Drosophila melanogaster: one gene and its partners. The protein of the gene in region 3 binds, or shares a complex with, the protein of the main gene of each other region. Each region holds a gene or a part of one and is shown on either strand. Other genes may lie near its edges. The genes, in order: rig, Gem4c and Smn.

What was found.
Region 1: Smn (region 3) and rig share a complex: the UniProt entries of both Drosophila melanogaster proteins name them as parts of the core survival motor neuron (SMN) complex.
Region 2: Smn (region 3) and Gem4c share a complex: the UniProt entries of both Drosophila melanogaster proteins name them as parts of the core survival motor neuron (SMN) complex.

Annotation. Positions count from the first base shown.
Region 1 is NT_033778.4:20,634,377-20,643,014, forward strand, and holds the start of rig (rigor mortis), read right to left. Parts: upstream 6,306-8,638; 5' UTR 6,206-6,305; coding exon 4,774-6,205; intron 4,716-4,773; coding exon 4,403-4,715; intron 4,346-4,402; coding exon 4,183-4,345; intron 4,121-4,182; coding exon 3,967-4,120; exon of another isoform or gene 3,942-3,966; coding exon of another isoform or gene 3,198-3,941; intron 3,139-3,197; coding exon of another isoform or gene 2,789-3,138; intron 2,733-2,788; coding exon of another isoform or gene 2,096-2,732; exon of another isoform or gene 2,016-2,095; intron 1,697-2,015; coding exon 804-1,696; intron 747-803; coding exon 581-746; intron 522-580; coding exon 371-521; intron 313-370; coding exon 55-312; intron 1-54. Other genes in the region: CG13436 (uncharacterized protein), read left to right, coding at 2,096-2,732, 2,789-3,138, 3,198-3,941; maf-S, read left to right, coding at 6,710-6,742, 6,790-7,170; CG11110 (uncharacterized protein), read left to right, coding at 7,461-7,554, 7,620-8,041; Tcs1 (Threonyl-carbamoyl synthesis 1), read right to left, coding at 8,201-8,638. UniProt on the Drosophila melanogaster protein: Component of the survival motor neuron (SMN) complex that catalyzes the assembly of small nuclear ribonucleoproteins (snRNPs), the building blocks of the spliceosome, and thereby plays an important role in the splicing of cellular pre-mRNAs.
Region 2 is NC_004354.4:3,942,489-3,948,960, reverse strand, and holds Gem4c (gemin 4c), read right to left. Parts: upstream 3,919-6,472; 5' UTR 3,706-3,918; coding exon 3,588-3,705; intron 3,535-3,587; coding exon 1,372-3,534; intron 1,313-1,371; coding exon 858-1,312; 3' UTR 501-857; downstream 1-500. Other genes in the region: Gem4b (gemin 4b), read right to left, coding at 5,054-5,508, 5,568-6,472. UniProt on the Drosophila melanogaster protein: Component of the survival motor neuron (SMN) complex that catalyzes the assembly of small nuclear ribonucleoproteins (snRNPs), the building blocks of the spliceosome, and thereby plays an important role in the splicing of cellular pre-mRNAs.
Region 3 is NT_037436.4:16,579,898-16,583,505, forward strand, and holds Smn (survival motor neuron), read right to left. Parts: upstream 1,651-3,608; 5' UTR 1,555-1,650; intron 1,491-1,554; 5' UTR 1,286-1,490; coding exon 605-1,285; 3' UTR 501-604; downstream 1-500. Other genes in the region: Rpn12 (regulatory particle non-ATPase 12), read left to right, coding at 3,203-3,608. UniProt on the Drosophila melanogaster protein: Core component of the survival motor neuron (SMN) complex that plays an essential role in spliceosomal small nuclear ribonucleoprotein (snRNP) assembly in the cytoplasm, is required for pre-mRNA splicing in the nucleus and acts as a chaperone that discriminates target and non-target RNAs of Sm proteins.

The DNA of each region.
Region 1 (8,638 bases), on a different chromosome or scaffold from region 3:
TGATTCAGAAAGGATGCTTAAACATTTGTCTATAGTTTAGTTTTAGTCACTTACATCAGAGCTGCTGCTGCAAAGTTACCCGTCCCCTCCAGATGCTCGAGCCAATTGTTAATTACGGTCTTGATCAGGGGATCCGTTGCTGGCAAGCAAATACGCGCATGTACAAGGGCCTCCTTATAGTATTCATTGGCCAGGAACAGTTTGATGGCTTCCGATTGCATTCCTTGACTAAAAAGATACGTAGCTGCGTGCATGATGTAGCCTTTTTCCTCCATCTGCTTGGCATAAGCGCGACAGCAGTCCTGCCAAAGTCTGCAAGAAATATAGACTAAAGACAAAACCGATTTACAACAAAAACGTAGAAACTTACGTAAAAGAAACGGAGGGAGCCAGCGAAACATGGCGTTCGGTAAGCGTCTTGTTGGCTATATGCTGCTCCAGCTCCTCGCGTAATTTGAACGTGGACATGGCCAGGCAAAGTGGAGCTATGTCTTTGGTGTTTGAGTGCTTCAGATTGGTCACTGAAATATTACATTTATCGTTAGCATTTTAAATACTATAAGTCAGTTAGTGAAATTACACTCGGTTGCAATGAGCTCCTTGGCCATCACTTTTGAGCTGAACAGCTTCGATATGAGCACCGACTTGTCGATCTTGGCAGAGTCTTCTGTAAGAACAATGGCCAGCTTCTCAAGGGCACTTTTGTTGAGCTCCTTCTGGGTAAGGTAAAGACAGGTGCGGCTATGCTGTTGGTAAATATGTTATTGGGTTTCAGTCGAATCAAGAGCACATGGATAACTTACTGTGAAACTGTCAGGTGACTGCTCTTTACACTTTGGGCATTCTTTGGCACTTCTATTATTTTGCTCCTTGTCCAAGCTAAGCGCTTCCAACATCTCTTCAACAGGAGTTTCTTGCGTACATTTATCGTTGGTTGGATTATCAATAACTGCAGTAACTGACTCCTGAATTTTCTTTTGATCCTTGTTAGCTACGTCAACTTCGAGCTTAGCCGCTGCTTTGCGTTGATCCCGGCGCTGCCGTTTCTTTTCAGCCGCTGTGAGAACTGGAGCGTATGGCTGGGTCAGGGATTTGCTAGCCCACTTAACATTTAACAGAGCATCCACCTTGGGACAGATGCTTTTCTCATCGCCTTCCAGCGCGTCCTTAATGTCAATTAGCTCCACGGAGAGAGCTTTTCCCGAGCACATAATGATGTTCTCGTTGGTGGGCAAAAACATTCCACACCACATGGGGCAGTGGTAGGTGATGGTTAGCGGTGGCTTCTCTGGCGCATTGCAGTTCCACAGGCACACCTTTCCCTCGATATGAAAGGTGAGCAGCAAGTGCTTCTGGGTATGACTCCATCTCATCGAGGTAATCGACGCCTTCTCTGTGTTTGCCGTAAATGTGTGAAGCGTTTTCCAATTGCGCTCCGTGGGCTGAAACTCCATCACGTACACGGACCTATCGTTGCCCGACACTGCAAACTTATTGCTGTCCAGCGGGCACCAGGCGATATCGGTCACATAACGAGCAAACAAAGCGGATTGGCGGATAAATGGAGACCACGACTTCTCCATTCCCGAATCGCGCTCATGGATCTGCAGCAGTCCATCATCGGTGCCAACAAAAAGGAAAGAATCGCGGATGCTGAGGTAACTGGGTCGAGAAATGCAGTTCACAATTGTGGGCTCTGTAAGAAAATAATAATGGCATATTTTAAATTAACTTTATATGTATCTTTGACTAGCTTTACCTTTAAGTAATACATACATCCATTAACTTAAAACACAATTAAATCTAGTCAGAATGACGAAAAACTCTTTGTTTTAAGTCCATTGTTGTCTTTTAGGTCCGCACCTAATTGTGCGATCATTTTAATGATTTGTGGGAAACAATTAATTAAAACAAGCCTAAAAGTCTCGAATAACAAAAGCTCGATGGCATGAGTAATTTGTGCTACTTGAAGAAAATGAAATCGATTAAACTGTAGCCAAGGGCAACAAATATCACACGTATCAAAAACTTAGCAAGCAAACCACATTACACATTTCCTTTCATCGAAATAGGTTAAATTGTTCTGTTTACCAAAATGCCGCGACACAAAACTCTAGTGAGCATTGGTCATCGTATTATGAAGCGCTTCAAACAGTTGGATCTCAGGGTCGACAAGGAGTTTGTCATCTACATGGTTCATTTGCTGGCAAGAGATCGGCGCAAAGGTCTCCTGAAGTACGACCTCAATAAGCCAACCGCCTGTGCCATTGAGGGTTTCGTGAATACAATTGTGGATAGCTATGTCAATTCGAAAGATTGCACTATGGCCAACATGAAGATGGCTTGGGTAATGAAAAAGGGAGTAACCATAGACCTTGAATACGTCAAGAAGAAGTACGAGGAAAAGTTCCAAACCGAACTGCAGCTGCTAATCAAGGATATCCTTCAGTATCCCGAGACTTGCAGTAAAGTGCAGTTGGACCAGCTCTTCGCAAAGATGCAGGTCTTCATAGTGGCCTGCTACAGTCTGGGCTCGCCCAAGAATCATGTTCTGCTTAAGCTGACTGCCCAGGCTCTCAACAGCGTCATCGGTCGAAGTGACCTACAGAATTATGTCCTGAAGAAGAAGTACCATCGGCTAGAGTATCTTCAACGCTTGTCGGCGACCGTGGGCGGCATTGTGATCTATAACAACGATGGCCCCGATGGAGATCGGGAGAATGTTAGAAGCGGTATGTGCATATAGGGCAAACCATTTCATATTTCATATCTGCTGTATACTTCTTAGTGGTCGATGATCTGGAAATGGCCCAGAAGAACACGGAAGCCGCATTTGCAGCCAGTATGGGAAGGGCGGTCAAGATGCAGTCCACTTGCCAGGCGGCACTGGATGACCTCATAAACATAGATCATAAGGACGAGACCTTGACCTACCGCGTGCCCCTCGAACATTTGGATCGGCTTAACCAGTTTGCGGCGACCTACTTTATGCTCCATCGCTGTCTGACGACTCTGAACGAACATTACCAGAAGACAGTGTACCTAATTGAAGTGGAGCATAAGCGATATCAATGCGTGATCTGCAAGATTGATGATACCCTATCCATGCGCACGGCTATTGATTCGGAGCTTATATTTGTAAGTGATGTATTCATTTAAAAGATGAGAATTTCTCCAATTTCGTTTCCCGCTTTCAGCCGCACTTTGTGTACCTCTCTCAGGTGTGGGGCAATCTGAACAACTACCTGAACCACATTGTTGAGTTAAACAAGCTGAGGGAGCAGGTGGAGGCATTGGTCGTCGACGACTTGATGACCCTGACAAAGGCTACGATTGCCGAGCTGCAGGCGCTTCATAAGCGGATAAAGAAGCCCAAGGTCTGCAGCTTTGAGGAACGCATGGATGCCGTGAAGGAGTTGCAGACCGATGGCAACTTTTGCAAGCTCAACAAGGCAGATATAAAGGAGTTTTGCTCTCTAGCCATGACCATTACCAACGGCCTGCTTATGCCGGCCCAGGTGACCAGAAAGCTGTGCTCCAATGTGGACATTACATTTGGTTTCCGGGACCCAAGATACGCTCGATTCGCGGAGCTGCGATTTGAGCCTTTCATAGCCGCCTTTAGAAAAGTGGTTTTCAACAATGCGAACCTGGCTCTGCTGTTCAAATTGGACGATGCGCTAATAGAGCAGGAACTGCAGAATCTGGTAGTTGAGCCACCAAAGCAGACAGATTTTGAGTGTCAAACCGAAATGGTCGTCACCAACGACCTAACGCCAGCAAACTGGATAAACGTAACATGGAATGCGTGGGATTATCATCGGGAGACAATCCACTTGGCCAATATACGTAAGAAGCAGACCAACGACGCGCAGACCAACATTAGTTACGGAAGGCGCAACGCACAGAATCAAACCTACAACTGTCGGCAACATAAGTAGAGAACGGCTAAGAACATATACTCACCGATTTTCGATTTTCTTAAATCAAAGAAACCTAGAACACGATTCACAATAAAGTATATAAAGTGGTCCTGCCACACAAGCGAGTAGACTTCTTTTTTGTGCGGCGTCCGTAAGTGTGTCTTTACTTTCATGCGCTCCACATCCAGGATGCCCACCTGTTGTTGAGTTGTATATTTAGGTTCAATATCCAATAAAATAGACGAAATCAAAGCCATACCGTTCCGTCGAAGGTGCCAAAGGCCAGTTCCAAGCAGTTTGGACTCCAAGCCAGGCAGTAGACGTTGCTGGACACATAAACGCTGTCGATGGGCAGGCAGCTGGTGGTGAGCTTCGATATATCGAAGAAGGCCACACGGCGATCCGAACAACCCAAAGCGATTCTAAACGAAAAACAGTTTAGCAACGTTTGCGAATGGCATATTATCTTATTAGCTTACTTGTTCATATCATCTGGACACTCGGCCATCGCTCGCACTCCAAACGCCACTGTTCCGTAAAAGTCAGCCATCCGGCCAGTTTTAGGATTCATCATTCCAATCTGGCGATTGTTTCTGCACAACCATATCATCTCTTTGCTGGAGTCACAGGCAAAGGACACGATGTCTTGCAAATGGCAGCTGTGTGATTTATCCTTGCTGATCTTGTAGCGTAGCATCTTGCGCTCGAACTCCACGGACCAAAAGAATAACTGATGGCGACTCAGGGAAACAATGACATGGTTGTTCAGCCAGTAGACGTTGTTAAGCTTGCCTGAAGAAAAGATCCCAGTTGAATGCTTGCTTTCAATGGTTTGATTCTTTCCACTTACCCGCCGTCTTGCTTTTGCTGTAGTTCTTGCCAGCATGCGCTCCCGTATTGGTATTCCAGATCATCATCACCTCATCGCCGTCAATGGACACGAGCAGAGTTTCCAAGTGGGTGCTGTTCACGGATGTCAAGCTGATGGTCTCCGCGCTGATGGCCGGCACAACTTGGAGATTACTCTGAGGCTCAGACTTGGTCTGCGGTGTTCCTGAAGCATGTACCTCGGCCTGGTGGTAGATGTGATGCAATACTTCTCTTTTGGGCTTTGCTGCCTCGCCATCGACGATCACGGCATCATCACTGGACGAGCTGTACTGGATGACCTCCAGACTGCCCTCGGTCGAGTCGCTGGCATCGTTCTTGTTGCTAATGGTGCTGGCATCACTTAAGGGACCCGTAGGCTTTGTGGGCTCGCAGTCATGCAGCGTGACCTCCACGTGCTGCGTTTTATCCTCCTGGCGACTGGCTAAGAGTTCGGCTTTCACACTCTCGCAGGCCTCAACGAAATCTAAGACAGCGGCACCAGCTGGCTTCTCTAGACCCACAAATTCGCCGCCACAATCCTCTGAAGATTTGCGGCGGCGTTCAGCTATAGGTGCACCGAACTCGTACTCAAGATGATCAAAGTTGTATATGTCGAAAGGGTCGTCGGATTCGGCTGCCTTCGATTTGGTCAGTGGTGGTGGCTTTGTCTTGGGTTTCTCCTCCTGGCCGCCATTGCGGCTTCGCCACTCTTCAGCACTTAACGCCAGATTATTGGTTTTTTCGTCCTCGGCAGCAGGCACCTCCCGCCAGGCTAAGCCGCATATGGGCGCTTTGTGGCCGTGGAACTTGTAGACGATGTTCATTTTGCGCAGATCGCAGACCAGCACATTACCCATAGCCGTTCCCACAGCGAACAAATTGTCATTGTAGGGCGAGCAGCGCACCATAGTGAGTTGGTGATTTCGGGGCGAGATGAAAGTGGAGCGACGGCAGTAGGTGTTGGATGCCACACAATAGATGACCAGATCACTGGCGTCCATGGATAGAATGTTACCATTGGCCAGGTAGCTCATCAGCACGGAGTTGGTAGTGTGGTGCACGACGCGCACATCCCGCGCCTCGTGCTGGTGCTGATGGGCCTTGTGCCCGATGACGGCTTCGCCCAATGCGCAGTCCCACACCTGAACGCTTAGATCGTCGCCCACAATGGCGAATGGCTTGGTCGGCCCACCGTTGCCCAAGCCCCACATGGGACTAACGTCCAGGGCCAGTATGTTGATCCGCGTCGACATGGTCACCACTTGGGGCTGCTCTCCGTTTGCCGGCGGCGCGGATATGTAGTTGATGCAGCGAATGCCGGCGTACAGCAAACCGCCGTCGGGAGCAGCGGCCGCCAAAGATACGTTGCCCGGCGGTGTGGGCACATTGTGGTACATCACCTGCGAGTTCATGGCGAACAATAAGGACTTGGCATCTGCAGGATGAAGGAATATTTCCCGCTAACAGTTGGCGTCGTTCGGGGAAAAAACTTCTGTAAAGCTGTTAGTGTTAGGCAGCTTCTTAAACTTTGCCAGCGATGCCACCTGGAAGGCACGGAACTTAACAGTTAATTAAAATTGATAATAATTAAAATATAAATTTGTTATTTTCGAACTTGTATTTATAACAAAAATCTGGATCTGCTTTATATAAATAATTTAAAAATATAACTAAGTACCTTATGCTACAAAGCCTAAAATCTAGGGATCACGTTAGCTTTAGTATATTTAAATTACCCGCTATTTACCACAGACGTTTTTTGTCTATCTGCCAACTCTATGCAATCCATTTCCTGTGAATGGCAACCAGCAGGTAGAGAGGAAGAAGAAGACACACAATAACAACGCAAAAAAAAAAGGTAGAAAAATCTAGCAAATTCTAAAAGTCTCCGTAAAAATAAAATACAATCGGCCACAATGGAAGCAAAGCGCGAGAGAAAGTCATCCCTGGTACGTACCTTGTAGATATATGCGAAGAAGAAAGAAAACCCTGATAGAAGTGCGATTTTCAGGCACCACTTTCGCCATGTCCAATTCCGGATATTACCGATGACGATTTGGTGAGCATTTCGGTAAGGGATCTTAATCGGACCCTCAAGATGCGTGGCCTGAACCGCGAGGAGATCGTTCGGATGAAGCAGCGCCGGAGAACCTTAAAGAATCGCGGATACGCAGCCAGTTGCCGCATCAAGAGAATCGAACAGAAGGACGAGCTGGAGACTAAGAAGTCGTACGAGTGGACGGAACTGGAGCAGATGCACGAGGACAACGAGCAGGTGCGCCGCGAGGTGTCCAACTGGAAGAACAAGTACAAGGCGCTGCTGCAGTTCGCCATCCAGAACGAGATACCCATTCCCAGCGAGCTGGAGGGCTGCTGAACGATTGCCCAGTCACATTCCTGTTTCTGTCAAAATTACAATAAACCCAAAACGGAAAAAAACACCTGTAACTAAAGTACAATAGCTGGCAAATATCCTTCCTCAATAAACGTAATCTGCTCAAGAACCTCTGCATCGCCTTTATTGAAGCACCCTGTATTTAGCATAAACAAAACCCGTGTCGGCGCTGCGCTGCGAATGTCATAAGATCCGGAGCGCACAAGGAACTCGGCAAAAGGCTGGTGGTTATGTATTCATCTCGATAGCTCCGCTCTCCAACCAGTTCATCCATGGCATTTCGGTTCTTTGGCAAGTCCTTGCTGTACGCTCTGCCACTTGGCGTCACTTTCCTGGACTGCGTTGGTTATGTGGCCAGGGTGGATGGTGAGTCGTCCGGAGTTTATTCGCTCCATGTTAGTGTGCGCTAATTAATCCACAACTTTTTGCAGGCATCTCCATGCAGCCCGCTCTCAATCCCGTGCCGGATGAAAAGGACTATGTGTTCCTGCTGCGCTGGGGCACCCACAACAGTCAGGTGGAGCGCGGCGACATAATATCGCTCATTTCACCCAAGGATCCCGCCCAGAAGATTATCAAGCGCGTGGTGGGGCTGCAGGGCGACGTCGTGTCCACGCTGGGCTACAAGCACGAGATCGTTCGCGTACCCGAAGGACATTGTTGGGTGGAGGGCGATCACACAGGCCACTCCATGGACAGCAATACCTTTGGACCCGTCGCCCTGGGCCTGATGTCCGCGCGGGCAGTGGCCATCGTGTGGCCACCGGAACGCTGGCGAATACTGGAGAACGAACTGCCGCGGCGACGGAGACCCATACAGGCCTCCAAGAACTCCAGCAACTACTACAACTAGACTGACCAACTGGCGGAGAGCCTGCGCCCAAGATAGTTCCAATTGTGTACATACTGAACCGTATATTTTATAAACAATTTGTTGTGTTCCCGCATGCAAAGCAAAGTAGGATGTTCCAAAGTAAAAATTAAAGTTAAAGCCAAAGGAATAGCTCTTATACTACATCATTTTTAGCTCCCGAATGCCGAACTCCTCCATGAGGCTGAGTGTCGGCTTGAGAGCCACGCCGGCGCGCACTATTTCATAGTAGCCAGGAGTGGCCAGGTCAATGACCGTGGAGGCCAGTCGTCGCTCCTCGGTCAGACCGATTCGACCGGCATCGAAGACGGCGCCCAATTGGGGCCATAGGGAACGGAACTCGGACACCTGCAGACTGCTGGGCGCACTGGAGCGATTGGCGCTGGTCAGGGCCAGGGGCTTCTCCTGCCACACGGCGCACAGGTCGCGCATGAAGTTGAAGTCCGGAATGCGTATGCCGATTTTGGAGGTGCTGGGATTAAGGAAACGGTTGCTCAGCTGGGACGTCCGCTCGATCACGATGGTCAGGGGGCCCGGGAGCAAACGAGTTAGCAGCTCGTCGCTGAGATGGGCAGCCTG
Region 2 (6,472 bases), on a different chromosome or scaffold from region 3:
GATATTTTTAGTTTAGCGACTTTTCGATACTTGTCAAGCATTGGTCGTTAAATTACCTTGTAAAATATATATAGTGTTTTTTAAGACAAGATATTTTTTCTATTTTTTTTTATTTAGGTAATTTGAAAATGTTATTAATAACAATTTGCACCAAAATTTTCCTTTCCCTGAATAATGCCATTCAGCTTTTGACAGAATATAAATTAGTTAAATTTATAACATAACGAGTACATGAAATTTAAAAATGTATTAAAATAAATTTTCCTAGTTTTAAGTTACAATTTTGCAACAGGAAGCAAAGCAGTCGAAGTAATACATAAAAATACGAATAAAAATAAGAACATGCAAAATTACAATAATTTTAAGCTTGCCAAAGCATTTATTTAATAGAACACAAATTTGTATTTGATGGTAGTATTACATATTTTATGTAAATATAGTCGGCCTTAAGGACACACAAAGTTGTAAAATAACCTGATATCAAATTATTCTGATGTTCAATCATAGCGTTTTGTATATTATATATATAATACATAATAATACGAAAAAAAAGAACATGCAAAATTTTATTAATTTTCAGCTGAATAACTTCACTTGCTTGCCAAAGTATTTTTAGTAAGACAAAAAATTTGCATGGTAGTGGTACATTTGTTATGTGCATACAGTCGTCCTTTTAAAGGACATACAAAGTTGTAAAATAATCTGATATCAAATTATTCTGATGTTCAATCCTAGCGTTATGAATATTATATATGTTTTTAGTCATATAGAGATCTGACTGCCTAAGAATTAAAGTGTTGGACAAGCGGCGGAGTTTCGATTTGGCTTAAGAAAATTACACTTCTAACAGCATCTCCTTAACACTTGGCCGCCTGCTGTTCCTGGATATTTATGCCGAATCGCACAGCGAAGGCTTTACTAGCTAGCTTCATAATCTCGTTGCGAATGGAGAATGGAGCCTTGGCCACAACGGCCATCAAATGATCCCAATGCTGGCGCTTCGTGATGGTCTTATTGTGTTTGGCGTGGCTCCGGAAGGCGATCAAATATTCTCGAAATAGGAATCTAAAGGCCATGAAAGCGGACTCGCTGTTCACCTTGACCACTGCATCGCTAAGATCGCCCATAACAGCACAATCGGCCCTTTTTTTAAGGAGCTTTTTGAAGAGATCGTTAGCCTCCTGTGCACTGGACTGAGTTAGCAATTTGAGAAAGGAGCGTGTGTCCTTTAAGGTGTCTTCTTTAAGGTAGATGAGCCAAAAGCCCTTGTGCTTTAAACTGTTCACTTGGTTCAAGATCCTCTGGCGGCATTCTGTGAAAGAGCAATAATTAGTAGGCTTTCGTCTTGGACTTACATTTATAAGAGCGCACCAGTGCCTAGGAATGTCAGATGAGACAGACCGTCCTGCCAATACCACACCGCCAGTTCTAAATTATCCACCCGGAAATCTTCAAAGGTGGCCAAGTCCCAGCGTAGGGCATCAATGGTTTTCATGACATGCGAGATCAGCTTCCAGTGTTTCAAACGCCACTCTGGCAAGCTGGCATTCAGATATGTGTAGTGCTTGGCCACCTTGACAGCTGGTGCATCGTCTCCGTTCTCCAATTTCGGGTGCTCCTTTTCGAGTGCATTTAACTCTGCAGTGCCTCGGGTGATTAGATTGCTTTCACCCAGACTAATCTGCTTGAGCAGTTTCAAGATTAACTGCAAGCTGGGCAAGTTCATGGGCTCTATAAACTTGGCCAAACCGTAGGCACACGCGTCTAGGAACCTATTTTGCGCCTGCCTAAGCTCATCCTCTCCGTAGGGACACCGTCCGTCTTTCAAACTAACGCACAGTTGTCGCGCTGACGTGTAGAGACCGTTGAGGATCTGTCGGTGGCCATATAGGTAGAGTGTAAACTGCAAGGCATACGGCTTTTGAAGTAGTTGCTCGTTCACCAAGATGTTATCGGCACAGGCGGAAATATGAAAAGCAGCATGCTTGGGACAAGACTGAGCTATGTGCCAGAATAGCTTCGAGAAGCGAGTATGCGTCACGCCCAAGTGGGAGAAATCAATCCAGGTCTGTCTTGCGTTCTCAAAGCACAGTACTAGAAATTTGGTTATCGGGAAGCGCTTATTATAATCCAATTGATTAAAGAAGCGTATGCGACGCTCCCGATGATCGGGAGCCTTGAAATTAAATCCTTGGGTAACGTTTTGCTCATCGCGCAATAGCAGTACTTCCATCTTGTCCTCGACATTTAATTGCATAAATAAGGGACGCAGTACTAGGCTTAGCAGCTCTTCGTAATCATCGTTGGACGAGGTCTCGTCCTCGTCATCCCCCTGATTTACTTCCGTAACGGATATGCCCTCGTCCTCGACCACCATTTCGGACTCCACCACCTGACCCAGGAAACTGAGTATTATCTGGGCATGTTTCTTGGTGAGCATAATTAAATGATTTGCCATCGTTTCCACGCACTCATCGTTACCAAAGGCTATGAAGCGGCTAAAGAGATTGTCCAGCCCGGCGAGCAACTCCTCATCGGTGGCCATACCGGAATCGAGAAAGACTAAGAGTTCACCCATTCTCATCTCGGCAACGCGCTGCTCCAATGTTTTTGCTGCATCCGCAAAGCTCTGCATCTGCTTGCAAACCGGATGCTCTCCGAGCATATTATCTGATTGGAGTACTTTAAGCAATTCTGCCGTCTGTCTACAGATTAGCTCCTGGCAGTTATACAAAGCACTTTTCGATTTCATTTCATGCCAATACATATACGTGTCTACGCTAACGAGCTGAAAGATACGCCGCAGAACGTCTAGCAGTATTTGGGCGAAATGCCGCAGATCAGGCATGGGATCGCTTGAGTTGCTGTCACTGATGTCCTCGGTTATTTGGCTGTAGACGGCGAAGCAATTTGGTTTCTCCCGCTTTAATGGATCATTGAGGGTATACAAAAGGACTTCTATAAGGTGATCCATAGCCTTGGCCAGGTAAATCTTTCGAGTGGATGGACGCGGCAGCGTATGGAGGCGCTGTTTAGAGTCCAAGATATGACGATGTTCCATGCAGGCTATCTGGCGCAGCAGTTGCTTATTTTCTGCGGGCAAATTGCAGTTGACAATTGCGCGACCGGCTGCTCTGAGGGCGGCAGAGAGCAGCGGTAGTGTTTCCACGCAATCTGAATTAATGACCGACAGAGCCTCATTGAATGCCTCAAAATACTGGATGGTCAGCCAGCGGGGTCCACAAGCAAGGAATTCCTCCAGCGGCTCCATGAGACAGCAGTTAACGGCTATTGCGATGGTCAAGAACAGTGGGATAGGCGGAAGCTGGTTACACAAATGCATGACATTGGCGCTCCACTGCGATTTGCACAAGAAATAGTCGTGTGCGGTGTTCAGCACCAGGTACACCAGTAGTCCACGCAGTTGATTCATAGCAAAAGGATCCATTGTGTCTGGCGGCTGTATGATTAGATCGTGCTCCTCCAGCAGGTCCGTCACTTGGTCGCAGATCTTCTCAATGTGCTCATCGTTTCCTGAGAACAAACAATGTTCATATTTGGGCACTAACCTCTGGTACTTCACTTACCACTCCAGTAAATCATATCTTTCAGACACTTGGCCTGTTCGTTGTTGTCATGGAATATTTTCTTCAGCTGGACAAACAACTGGCAATTGTCCAGCGGGTGCTTCTCAGCAGTTATCATCGTGCTGCCGAAATTTCGCGTTTCGTCAAAACTCTTCCGAAGGAATTCAATTTTATGTGCGTCTTCTGTCAGATGACTATCGAAAATCGATAGTTTACCGGTGCGTACCGATTATCTTGCGTGCAAGGAATATTTTTTGAAAATGAAAATGTCCCTACAACAAAAAATTTCGCTTTGTAATAGACTCTCTGATGTAGATAGATACTAATATGACTTGTCCACTGCTTGCTATGATTTAACTTTAACTTTATTTATAAACATTTTCATATGATATTTTGTATTTTGCTCAGCTGAAAATTAAATGAAGATATTTTATAAAGTATTGTAATGTATTATTCGATAATTAATTATTTGTATTATTATTGTAATGTTTTATTCGATAATTAATAATTGACATTATAAATATTGCGACTTCTCCAAAGTCAACTGCAGTTTTTTAAACAGTGGTCCTATTTAGCAAATGTATTTAAAATAATGCGATTCGCATGCGGCATTTGAGTTTGAAATCTTTTCGATACTTGTCAAGCATTGGTCGTTAAATTACCTTGTAAAATATATATAGTGTTTTTTAAGACAAGATATTTTTTCTATTTTTTTTTTTATTTAGGTAATTTGAAAATGTTATTAATAACAATTTGCACCAAAATTTTCCTTTCCCTGAATAATGCCATTCAGCTTTTGACAGAATATAAATTAGTTAAATTTATAACATAACGAGTACATGAAATTTAAAAATGTATTAAAATAAATTTTCCTAGTTTTAAGTTACAATTTTGCAACAGGAAGCAAAGCAGTCGAAGTAATACATAAAAATACGAATAAAAATAAGAACATGCAAAATTACAATAATTTTAAGCTTGCCAAAGCATTTATTTAATAGAACACAAATTTGTATTTGATGGTAGTATTACATATTTTATGTAAATATAGTCGGCCTTAAGGACACACAAAGTTGTAAAATAACCTGATATCAAATTATTCTGATGTTCAATCATAGCGTTTTGTATATTATATATATAATACATAATAATACGAAAAAAAAAGAACATGCAAAATTTTATTAATTTTCAGCTGAATAACTTCACTTGCTTGCCAAAGTATTTTTAGTAAGACAAAAAATTTGCATGGTAGTGGTACATTTGTTATGTGCATACAGTCGCCCTTTTAAAGGACATACAAAGTTGTAAAATAATCTGATATCAAATTATTCTGATGTTCAATCCTAGCGTTATGAATATTATATATGTTTTTAGTCATATAGAGATCTGACTGCCTAAGAATTAAAGTGTTGGACAAGCGGCGGAATTTCGATTTGGCTTAAGAAAATTACACTTCTAACAGCATCTCCTTAACACTTGGCCGCCTGCTGTTCCTGGATATTTATGCCGAATCGCACAGCGAAGGCTTTACTAGCTAGCTTCATAATCTCGTTGCGAATGGAGAATGGAGCCTTGGCCACAACGGCCATCAAATGATCCCAATGCTGGCGCTTCGTGATGGTCTTATTGTGTTTGGCGTGGCTCCGGAAGGCGATCAAATATTCTCGAAATAGGAATCTAAAGGCCATGAAAGCGGACTCGCTGTTCACCTTGACCACTGCATCGCTAAGATCGCCCATAACAGCACAATCGGCCCTTTTTTTAAGGAGCTTGTTGAAGAGATCGTTAGCCTCCTGTGCACTGGACTGAGTTAGCAATTTGAGAAAGGAGCGTGTGTCCTTTAAGGTGTCTTCTTTAAGGTAGATGAGCCAAAAGCCCTTGTGCTTTAAACTGTTCACTTGGTTCAAGATCCTCTGGCGGCATTCTGTGAAAGAGCAATAATTAGTAGGCTTTCGTCTTGGACTTACATTTATAAGAGCGCACCAGTGCCTAGGAATGTCAGATGAGACAGACCGTCCTGCCAATACCACACCGCCAGTTCTAAATTATCCACCCGGAAATCTTCAAAGGTGGCCAAGTCCCAGCGTAGGGCATCAATGGTTTTCATGACATGCGAGATCAGCTTCCAGTGTTTCAAACGCCACTCTGGCAAGCTGGCATTCAGATATGTGTAGTGCTTGGCCACCTTGACAGCTGGTGCATCGTCTCCGTTCTCCAATTTCGGGTGCTCCTTTTCGAGTGCATTTAACTCTGCAGTGCCTCGGGTGATTAGATTGCTTTCACCCAGACTAATCTGCTTGAGCAGTTTCAAGATTAACTGCAAGCTGGGCAAGTTCATGGGCTCTATAAACTTGGCCAAACCGTAGGCACACGCGTCTAGGAACCTATTTTGCGCCTGCCTAAGCTCATCCTCTCCGTAGGGACACCGTCCGTCTTTCAAACTAACGCACAGTTGTCGCGCTGACGTGTAGAGACCGTTGAGGATCTGTCGGTGGCCATATAGGTAGAGTGTAAACTGCAAGGCATACGGCTTTTGAAGTAGTTGCTCGTTCACCAAGATGTTATCGGCACAGGCGGAAATATGAAAAGCAGCATGCTTGGGACAAGACTGAGCTATGTGCCAGAATAGCTTCGAGAAGCGAGTATGCGTCACGCCCAAGTGGGAGAAATCAATCCAGGTCTGTCTTGCGTTCTCAAAGCACAGTACTAGAAATTTGGTTATCGGGAAGCGCTTATTATAATCCAATTGATTAAAGAAGCGTATGCGACGCTCCCGATGATCGGGAGCCTTGAAATTAAATCCTTGGGTAACGTTTTGCTCATCGCGCAATAGCAGTACTTCCATCTTGTCCTCGACATTTAATTGCATAAATAAGGGACGCAGTACT
Region 3 (3,608 bases):
TGCAAAAGAGAAGGATTTACCACTTATATTTCAAATCGTAAGCCTGTGAAAATAAAGGATGCATTTGGCAGTGTTGAATATGGACGGTTAAAAGGTCCAAGCGCATTTTTAGCTAGTTTGTTAATTAGGCAATACTACCATGTACTCTCTTTATCATTATATCTTATTTTTTATCAATAAAATTTTTCAGCTTCTGATTTTAAAACAGCTACACGATACCCAAAGTTAAAGAAATCTATTGCAGTGTAAGAAAGTCTGCTTACCAATCAAAATATCCGTTTTTTTTCTTTTCTGATTTGTATACTGCCAGCTAAAATATCGCCATTCTACGATCTATCGAAGGTTATGAAAATTCCGTTATACTACAAACTCAACCGCTCGCTACGAAATGTATCGAAGCACTGATTTTCTCAAGTGGCCATATTGAATGTCAACCTAAATTTCTGCCTGCCTCGGCATTTTTTTTTTCCATTTATGTAGCAATTGAAACGAGATCCCACCATGACGATACTGACTCTTTAATATAATAAATTTAATCGTTCTGTTTTCTTAATATCTACAAGTCTTTCGAAAAGATGTGATGTGATGATGAGATAAGATGGAATTACTTCTTGGGTGTCTTTTTCTTTCCGCTAGTGGTGCTGGCTTCTTTCTTTCCCTGGTAGAGGCCCGTATAATAGCCGGACATGTACCAGGCGGTGAGCATGGCCACGAAGTCCTGTTCGGCGCCGTCCCCTTGTCCGACAATCATGGGCGGTACTGGTGGCATGGGCGGCATAACCAGTCCGCCAGAGATCCTACTCCTTCTGGATGACTTGGGAGTCTTTGAATGACTACCAGCGGATGCCTTAGGGCGGCTCAACTGCTCGTCCTCATCCTTCTTGGCGATAAGGAACTGCTCGCGACGCACACGCTTGCCCCAGGACGGCAGGAGGTCCACGAGCAACACCTCCTGCTCGTTCTCATAGCCCAAATAGCGGAGTACGCAGGTGCCCTTCTCCTCGTTAATAGACACCACAGCGCCCTCGTAGTCCACACCATCCACGTAGGTGGCCCTGGCGTAGTCGCCTACTTTGAAGGATACTGGTTCCGGGCTGGTAGCCCCACCAGTGGCCGAGATCTCGCCAGCTTCTTCTTCAGCTGCGGCAGCGTTCTCCTCCTCGCGCTTGTTGGTGGAATCGGCGAGGCGGCGGGCCAAAGCTTCGCGGGCCAGTCCCACCGACTCGTCGTACGTCTTCACCAGCAAGGAGTCATCCCACACCGCGGCGTTCGTCTCGTCGGACATCTCGGCTTTCTATCCTATCAGGCAAGTATCACGTTTTTAAAGGAAGAACCAAGTTTCGCTTTTATGCGAATTTGCTGTGTGTTGGAAAGCGCAGGCGAATCACCGCTTAGCAGCACAGGCCGAAACATGAAACTATCGCTAAAAGGTGTACATTCAAACTAAGATGTGATAAAATTTATGAAGTCATTCTGGGTATTATATTATTCTGAAAGCGAACGAAATGGTTAAGAAATATTTAAATTCAGTAAAGCTGAAAAAAGTTTTCATACTTTGTGGCCAACATTCACAATGCAATCAGAATACTTCCAATGTAATTGTATTGTATTTATTGTTTTAATTGAAGTCTTCTTTTTATACTTTCCACTAAAAATACTTTATTGTGAGTGGTGTTGTACCTATCGTCCCCATTAACCGCACGATAGTATCGATACTTATCAGCATGCATCTTTAACACAATAAACAAACAATAAATTGATCGATCCGACCTGAAAGCGAGATCGCTAAATTTTTTAACTCAATTTCGGAGGTATGGAGTTGGGGTTGGTGTGCCGAATTTGCCTCGGGCAATGTGAAAACGAGTTCAATATTTTTGAAGTTAAGCACGGCACTGAAGCTTCAATAGCGTCAATCATTTCCGAGTGCACTGGCCTCAAAGTGGAAAAAGGCGATCATCTACCCGAAACATTTTGCACCTCCTGCTGCCAAGATGCACAAAATGCGTTCGAGTTTAGAAAAACCCACCAGAGGAGCTAATAATTTTACGTTTAGTTAATGGAGGAATCCCGATTCCGCAAGGTATCTTATTCCGAGGATGGGGAATCGAGTATCGATGGAGGTGCTTTTCAGCATTTTGTCGAACTCGAAAGTGTAGTTGAAGATTGGCGAGGCAGTGGCATGATCCAATGGGAATGTTGTCTAGTGTAGAACGAGCCTCTTTAAAGACGATGATCAGTTCGTGGACTGTGACAGCGATCAATCCAATAGCCAAGTCAATATTGAGGTAATAGACGAAGACTATGATAGTTGTGAAAACCATAGATTGCAAAATAAAGGACGTGATAATGATAAGCTGCTTCAATGTCCTCATTGCCCAACGAGGTTTTGGATAAACTCAGCACTTAAGCAGCACTTGCTGCTTAGCAGCAAAGGCTTTGAAGAGCGTATCGCATCTTTCGGGACATATTGCAATACACACTGAAAAACGGTGCCCCCATTGTACATCGAATTTTACGCTGGCTTCCAATCTTAAAAGGCATCTAATAATCAACACAGGCGAACGCCCCTTCAAGTGCTCCCAATGTCCTAAGGCGTTTTACCCAGAATGCGCATCTTCGAATTCACATGATGAGCCACACAGGAGAGCGACCGTTCCCATGCACCAAGTGCTCCAAAAGCTATTTCACGAACACGCAACTGCGGTACCATCTAAAGACCCACAAAGAATGAGAGTTCTGAATCGCTTAATAATTTAAGTTATTCTTGACACAAAACTTATGCCCAAGGTCAAATAGACGTGATTTCAATACCCGAAATTTTTAACTATACTGAGACAATCACTAATTGAATAAACAGTCCGAGCTTAAATGCGAAAATTTAGATTTAAACTCCATTAGATAGTTTGTTAAAATATATCGATATTAAAGCACAAAGGAAATACAATACCCCTTGGATCAAATCATAAAGCTTTCAGTTGTAAACTGTTAAACTATATAGAGTTCGTCTAAAAAATGTATTTTTCAACTTAAACTTACACTTAAATAATATTCCCAGCCCTGTGGTAACTTGACAATCGATAACTGTTCCGATAACGATTGTCCTATCGCTTTACCCTACAACAATTGCCATCTCTAAAAAAAAGCGAAAATCATCTTGGGAATTTGCAGAAAACATTTAAGCTTCAATATACCAATCTAAAGAATGGCCAACGTGGAATCGCTGTACAAAGAACTGACCGCCGAGTGGTCAAAGCGGCCACCAAACACCGTCAAATGCGGCCAGCTGCTGGATCAACTGAAAGTAGCGCTCGTGAAGATGGCCTTCCTGCCGACGGACGGAAACGATGCCCAGAGCTCCAAGAAGCAATTGATCCTGGCTAGGAGCGTGCTTGAGGTGGCCGTGGAGCATAGCGTGCTCAGCAAGGACCTGCTCGCCTTCGAGCGCTACATGGCGCAGCTGAAGTGCTATTACTATGACTACGCTAAGATCATTGGCGAATCGGAGAGCAAGTATAAGCTGCTCGGTCTGAATCTGCTGTACCTCTTGTCTGGCAACCGGGTATCCGACTTTCACACGGAACTGGAGCTGCTCTCCGTGGACGTCATCC